Linked DNA regions of Schizosaccharomyces pombe. The protein of the gene in region 2 interacts with the protein of the main gene of each other region in a pairwise test. Each region holds a gene or a part of one and is shown on either strand. Other genes may lie near its edges.

Evidence for each region.
Region 1: the proteins of tmf1 (region 2) and pre9 interact in a two-hybrid assay, tested with the Schizosaccharomyces pombe proteins (one large-scale study listed by BioGRID).

Annotation. Positions count from the first base shown.
Region 1 is NC_003424.3:423,202-427,130, forward strand, and holds pre9 (proteasome core particle subunit alpha 3), read right to left. Parts: upstream 2,039-3,929; 5' UTR 2,023-2,038; coding exon 1,276-2,022; 3' UTR 725-1,275; downstream 1-724. Other genes in the region: RhoGEF Gef2, read left to right, coding at 1-106, 156-702; splicing-associated factor Dre4, read left to right, coding at 2,829-2,868, 2,905-3,121, 3,163-3,929.
Region 2 is NC_003423.3:2,507,562-2,511,490, forward strand, and holds the start of tmf1 (TATA element modulatory factor-like protein), read right to left. Parts: upstream 1,673-3,929; 5' UTR 1,643-1,672; coding exon 1-1,642. Other genes in the region: Der1 family protein, read right to left, coding at 2,098-2,439, 2,490-2,584, 2,636-2,873; kin17 (KIN17-like protein), read right to left, coding at 3,224-3,929.

The DNA.
Region 1 (3,929 bases), on a different chromosome or scaffold from region 2:
TATCTTTCAATTCAACTGATGCAGTTTATCATTTGAAAAAAATCTTACAAGACTTACCCGAGAGTAGCCTAAAGATCCTTGAGAACATTTTTTCTATTGCTTCCGAGTAAGTCACCAAGCTTGTTTTTCAGAGGTTTTATTATCTAACGTCGTAGTTTGCTTTTGAGACTTCCTCTTAAAGATCAATGTGATTTTGTTACGAAACAACTAGCAATTGCCTTGGCTCCTTCCATGTTTGGAAGTAATGCTGTAGAACTTGTTTATTACCTTGCATACCACAGTGATCGCATTTTTGGAACAGTAGAGGAATTGCCGACTCCGGTTTCCCCTGCGAATTCCAATAATGATAAACAGTTAGATGAATCGAAATTCCAAGCAATTGCCATGAAAGAAATGCCGGAAAGACACCCTAAGGAAATTTTACCTGGTCAAATAGAACGAGAGGCATACGAGGATTTACGACGCAAATATCATCTGACTCTTGCAAGGTTGGCTCAAATGACTCGATTAAATGAAGATTCTAAAAAGTCTATCCCTCTGTTGTATGATCGCTTCAACCATGATCTTAAGCTTATAAAGCAATCAGTTCAAGCCAGTTTAATTAGAAAACAATGTGAACTAGATACCGCAAAGTGGACTCTTGAAGAGTATGAATCCAAGCTAAACGCTAAGGAAGGTTGTCAAACCAACATATTTATATAGCCAACTAGTCTATACTACATCGATTATTAGATTATTTGTTTTACTATTCCTTTTTTAGATATCAATAGTTATTTTTTTTATCCTTCAATATGTAAGTGAAAGTTAATAATACTCATCAAAAAGTTTTCTCTTATTTTTATAAATAGTATAGAATTGGAATATGCTACACCGTTTAAAATCTTCAGTTATGAAAACTAAGCATATAGTTTAGAACATATGAGAGTCATTGACATTCCATTGGAAATACTATAATTTTAAATATGCCGGAATGGTGTACTCAAGTAGAAATTGACGTTATGAAGGGAATGAGAAAGAAAGGTCTAAGTATAAAAGAAACTTGAAAAAAGCCTTTTTTAAAACGGCATAAGAATTCATAAGATAATGATTTAGCGTAGATAAAAAGAAAGCAAGCCTATATTGAGACGGAATAAGGCTCATGATGGAACTTAGTTTGCTTCAAATTGTTTACAAAAACCATGAGCTAATTACAAGGAGATTAAAGGGTAACGACGAAAGCTATAAAAAACAGCTATACACTTAAAGTGTTTTCCCAATGAATTGAGTAAGGCAATATTAAGATTGCCGCTGGGTCTCTTGGTACTTATTGAGCACTTCATTTATTTCATCTGACTTCCATATTTTGCAAACCATTTTGTTTTTCGTGGTATCCTTTGTTATTGTTGCAAATTCAATTTTTTCATGAGTTAGGGAGTTACTGTCCAACGTTTTACTCAAAAATTTCACGGCCATAGCAGAAGCCTCATCTAAGTTTATATCATCCTTATACTCCTGTCGCATTAAGCTTTGAACACTAGTACTATTTCCTCCGATACTATTTGCTTGCCAGCTTCCGTAATTTCCAGATGGATTAGATTGGAATAGCTGATATCCACGAATATGATCCCATCCAGCATATAAGAATGAAACACCGAATGGACGTAGCCCACCATACTGTGTATAACCTTGTTTGAGGTCACAAACGCGACGAACTAATTGCTCACAAGGCATCTCTTCATTAAAAGTCTGCAAGTATTGTTGCCCAACCCTTCTAGCGTAGTTAATTAGGATGTTTGCATCTGCGGTAAGCCCTGCCACAGCACATAACATATTGTCTCCTATATGATATAACTTTTCTGCGGATTCTTCTTGTTCTAATAGTTTGCTGGTAACCTTCTTTTCAGCAGCTAAAACAATTCCATCTTTAGCTACAATCCCTAAAGCAACGCCAGCATGGTTGATCGCTTCCAATGCATATTCAACCTGGTATAAACGACCTTCAGGTGAAAAAATAGTCGTGCGAGAATCGTAGCTTCTTGACATAATGAATTTGGTTGATGACAAGTTCGAAAATGCGCGAAGCACTAGATCACGAACATTAATGAGGTCTACCGAAGTGCGATTACCACACTTGCTTTATTCTTTATGTGCTTACTACACTACTATAACAGGACTGACTTTTACCTGTCTTCTAATACAATTAATCTATTATGATTTAAATTAGTATGTTGTTAATCCGCTTATTTTTACAAGCTATGCTGTACAACAAATGTCTTTATAAATGAGAGCTATTTTTACGATAATCAATTTACCTTTAGTACTTTCATATCCTCAAGATATAAAGTTATCAGTGTAGGTTGCTAATAATTAAAATCTGCTTGTAAAAATATTTGAACCAGAGGAGTCAATACTAGTGTAAAAATGTAGCTGCTTACAAATACTTCCAGCCTGCCGTTTAACGATTTACCACGAGTTATGAATTGCTCGTAAATTTATGCGGGTTGTTGTAAATTGACAATATTAAAATTGAAGTTCTCGAAAATGTTTTATTATATTGTACTTGGTAGACCATTTCATTAACTTCTTATTTGTTCTAAAGGAAATACTTGGGAAGACGCTACGTGCGGTGCTGTTATGAGGTTTTTGTAGTATATTCAATAATGTTAACTACACCTATGAATTTATGCAATTTATACAGATTTTTTTTAATAGTTTGTAGAAATTTTTTTGTAATTGACATAACTATTCAGCTGGATTTTGCAAAACTGTTCTATCTATTCTCACACACACGCCCACTGAATACTACCTAACATAGTGTCGAACTTAACTTCTTGATTGTACATATCTTAATGTCACAGCCTTTGCCTCCTGGATGGACTGAACATAAAGGTAAATTTAATGAGCAGTTTATTTGCTAACTCATAGCACCCAGTGGGATTCCTTATTACTGGAATGCCGAGTTAAAAAAAAGCACTTACCAGCGCCCAAGTTTCATTGAGAAAAACCATTCATCTTCTGTTACTGCTTCGCAAGCTTCTTTGGCGTTTAACACAAGCGAAAAGCTGTTTGTTAATGAAAATGCTGAAGAGCGCAAAAATTCTCGAGATTTGAGGAAACAATTACCGGACAGACCAAAATTCAAGTATGTGAGGCGTAAAATTTTGTTATTAACTTTTTTTTTAGAAAAAGAATTCCTAATAATGATTCATGGGTGGTTGTTTTTACTAAGAAAAATCGGTATTTCTTTCACAATTTAAAAAGCCATGAATCATATTGGGAACCTCCTTTGGAAATTAGTAAAGACTTGAAGATATTACGTCTTCCGATACGGAAGCAAATCAGTAAAGATTCCTCACAGAGTCAGAACGTTGATAGTGGTAAAACCAACCACGAAGAAATACATGAATCTAGGCATTTACAAACAGAGATTGAAGAGCCCTCTGGTTTAGAAGAATCATCGGAGGAATCCGTTTTATATTCTGAAGAATTTTATGAAAAATCTGATGAAGAAGAGGATGAGGAAAAATCACACTCCGCTGAAGAGTTGGAGTTTGGTGAGGAAGATATTATGTATCAACTTCAACAATTGGATGATGAAACAGTTTCCTATGATATACAGGAACAAGCTACAAATTTATCTACTGATGATGCTAGAAGAGTATTTACTGAACTTTTGAAGGACAAAAACATCGGGGCATACCAACCGTGGGAACTAGTTTATCCAAAGTTATTAGACGATGATCGTTTTTACGTATTAGATTCGGGAGAGAGACGAAAAGAGGTGTTTGAGGAATATTGCAAGTCGGTGGTTTCTACCAAAAAAATTACGCGTAGAAAAAATACCTTATCGGATTTTTGGACTTTGCTTCATTCACTTCCATCTACCTTGCTATGGCCTCAATTTAAACGTAAATATAGAAAGTCGTCGACTCTTCAAATTCCAGGATATT
Region 2 (3,929 bases):
ATTGCCTGCCTGCCAATATATCAATTTGACTGACATAAAGTTCACGCATATCCTTAATGTCCAGCTCTAATTCAAACACTTTGTCACTTTTCTGCTTAAGTGTTACCAACGTACTGGCATGCTCTTTTTCGAGGTTCTGTAATTGTAGTCTAAGCTCTTCCACTTGCTTTTTTGAATCTTCATTTGCATCATTATTTACATAGGCATCAACAATTTCTTGACGGGCCTGATCTCTTTGGATTATAAGTTGCGCTACTTGCTGCTTAGTTGTTTGTAGTTCGGCTTCTAATCGGCGAATTGTGGTAGCAAGTTGCTCCAAAAGACTAACATCAGGAACATTCCCGGCACCTTTTTCAAGATTGCTGGGTGTCCCTGATGTTGGTGATATTGCCTCAGATTCGTATAGGCTAAATTTTCTTGAAGCTTCCGAAGGAGGAGAAAGAACTGCACTGCTTATGGAAGCATACCTTGACTGAGCGTTTATACCCAACTTTCGCGCTTCTGATGCTGATCTGGAAATTCTGGATCTCTCTTCTGAAGGGGAAGGAAGATTATCCAAAAAGTTTTCTAAAGCATTCCGTGTATCGCTTTGTGGGATTTCTGAAAAACTCAAAGGAGATGGTTGCGGACTTGTTGAAATATTTAAGGGATGTAGGTCGTCAAAATAATTATCTTTGTCATTTTCTAAAGCTTCATCACGCTTGCTCATAGATGAAGGTATCGGAATAGCATTAGTAGGGGTAGTGGGATCTTCATCTTCTTTGGTGACTTTAAGCGTATCTACCTTTCCAACCGTATAATCATTATTTTCAGGAATTCCTCCTGTAGTGACAATTTTTTTAGGCTTAGATTTAACATTACTTCTTATATTAGTGTCAAGCTCCCTTTGTAATCGGTCTAGTTGTGTTTGTAAGTCCAAATTTTGGGCTGCTAAAGTATCATTTTCCTCTCTCAATGTCATATTAAAAGCCTGAGAACTCCTTATTTCTTCATCTTTCCTTTCACAAAGTTTCTCCAATGAATCTAACTGTTTAGACATTTGAGATACTTGATTCTGGAAAGTCTCACGTTCCCTTTCCCAATTCTTTGCACCATGCTCGGATTTCTCATAAAGTTCTTTCAGGTCTTGAATTTCCTTTTTCTTCTTTTCATCTTCACGTACCCATTGACTCCTTTGAATCGAATACTGGGTTGAGAGGGTCTCTACTTGACGCGTAAGACGAACAACCTCCATGCTTTCTACTGTAAGTTCTTCCATTTTTCTTTGAAGATCCTCCTTTTCTTTCTCTAAAATTGATATCCTCTTTTCAAATTGAGACTTTTGTAGTTCCAATTGTTCCTCCATCTCCTTTGAGTCAGATACCTGTAATTCCGGAGTCGCTTGTTTCTCGTCTAGGCGCTTCAACTTTGTTTCAGCTTCACTTAAACTCTTTTTAAGTTGCTTAATTGTATTGTTTAACTTTAACTCATTTTTTGAAAGCGCCTGTCCTTCCGTAAGAAGCTTTGCGATAATCTCATCTTTTGATTTTGCATTTCCTCGTGACATCTCCTCAATCTGATTACCGTCTAAGACTTTGTCAATACTGGTTTCAACATTTGACATTGCTTTCTTAAGAAAACCTCCCCATTTTGAATTCTCCATGCCTGCTTCACCGTACACTGGCTGGTAGTTGATCTGTGTACTCTACGTGGTATAGGCCCACTTTACTTTATGAACGTAAAATAAAAGATTTCTAAGTGCATATGCCTCGCACGTCAATTTGTACATATGTTTACTTTAGTCTATTGGTGAAGGATAAAAAAAGAAATTTAGATAAGAACATTATAATAAAGGGCTACATTTCAACAAATTAGTGTAGTTCGGATTTTTAGCTATCAGCATATGAATGAGAAAGCCGTCGTGTTCGTACAGGAAAGAAGTGAAATATTATTCATCAAAAATTTGAAATAGTGGAACTCATTGATGCATTATTGAAAATTGTGAAAGTTTGCCTACCAGACTCGACAGGTGATGAATGGAGTAAGAAATATTGATAAAAATTTCGAACACGTATCGACTGTTTTTAACGCACTTAATGAAATCATCAATATGAAAAATTAAGTGCCTAACTTTTTGCCCTTCCCAATGAATGTTCCAGACACCTTTTGGGAATTCAATTTGGGAGAGTTGGAGCGATGGACAACAGGAGTGTGAATCGAATCAAAAAAATTGACGATCATTGCAGAGATAATACCAAAACCCAATACTACTAGAGATGGAAGACCTCCGGTTAGAAAGCTGAAGCCAAGAAGAACATATGGCAAATATTTGCCTTGAACATGAAAACCAAACAAAAACTGGATTTTGGAAAATGAGTTAAACAAAGACCAATTATAAGCAATGGCAGCGGCAAGCGATTGATTTAACGCGCTTCCAAGTCCTGAGATCAAGGAAAATGCCTAAAGAGAAACGTTAATAAGCATACTTTAGACCTTCAAATACTCCTTACATCAATTAAAAGAGCAACTTTAACTAAATAAATAATGTATTTTTTTGCATTCCTAGCAAAGACAAAGTTTTCCAGGTATGTGCTATATTGGTAAACTATTGACAAAACGTTAGAATTTAAATACAGGTTTTAATGGATTTACGTACAAAAATAAATGTTCATGATAAAATCAAATCCAGTTCCAGCATAGAGATAATTAGTAAATAAACGATACCATTGTTTCTGACGAACGACTAACGGATAATGCAGAACTAGCATCGAAGGTGAAAGAAGTTGACATAAAGTTAAAATTGTGGTAGCTGCTGTTCCAAGCAGAATATACCTTGTTACAGGAGGTATTCTAGACAGCAATTCTTGTATTTGACCGGAAAATTCCGAAGCCATGTCTTAACTGATTATGTTTGTTCAGGCAAGGTTGTATACGGAATTGTGCTACAATTACTAACGTATCGAACATTTTCATATATATGTACTATAGTAAAATATAAGTTATTAAATCTCTAACTTAGATCAAGTGAAAGCAAAATTATATGAAATTTGGAGCTTTCATGTATTTTACAGCACCTTCAAATCAAGTAGACTAAGCTAGCAGAAAGGCTACTAAATAACACATATACGGTTAAATAAGCTACATTAAAAGTAAAAGTACAAGTACAAGCGTATTTTTTTTATAAATAATAAACCAATAAATAAATTCTCACTTTTGAAGCCTTTTAAAAACGTCAATTCTCCGGTTAGAGCTTTATATTGCGTCTTTTCTCTCTCATTGTTTCTTGAGCAATAATGTCTTCAACAGCTGACCGTGGCCTTTTTACATTCTGCCCTTGATCTAAAGAATCCTTATTGTTCTTTTTACGGCTTTTATTCAGCTCTGCAAAAACATTTTTTGGTTTGTGCTTCAAGGAGGTCTGGGAGGATGAACTAGAAAAAGAAAATGTGGGTGTATTTCTTGTTTGAAAAAATTCATTTTGAGCAGAGTGAGAATCTGAAGATGAGGATAAATTAAGTTGAATCGGGTTTCCTTTTTTTGAAAGATCAATCTCATGTAGTACAGGTTGCTCCCTTGAACTTCCATCCTTATTGTCCTCGTTATTCTGTGCTGATTCATAAGCACGCTTAATCTGTTCATCAAGCAAGCGAAGACGTTGTTCTTCATCAGATTTTTCTTGACGTTCTCGTTTCTTGTTAGCCTCATTTCTTAAGATATTAGCAGGGTTTTTATCAATATAAGAAATAAAAAAACCCTTTTCATTTTCTTCCACGCGACACATTCCTTGACGACCCAGAAATTTGCAAAACTCGCTAAGTGTATGCCATCGAGTAGCATTCATATGAACATGGTTTTTATCGCGGATATATTCTTGATAAAATTGGTTAAAATGAATCTTTTTCTCACCGTGAGCAGTCCTTAGAAGACTTATAAAATCTCGTAAAAATTGG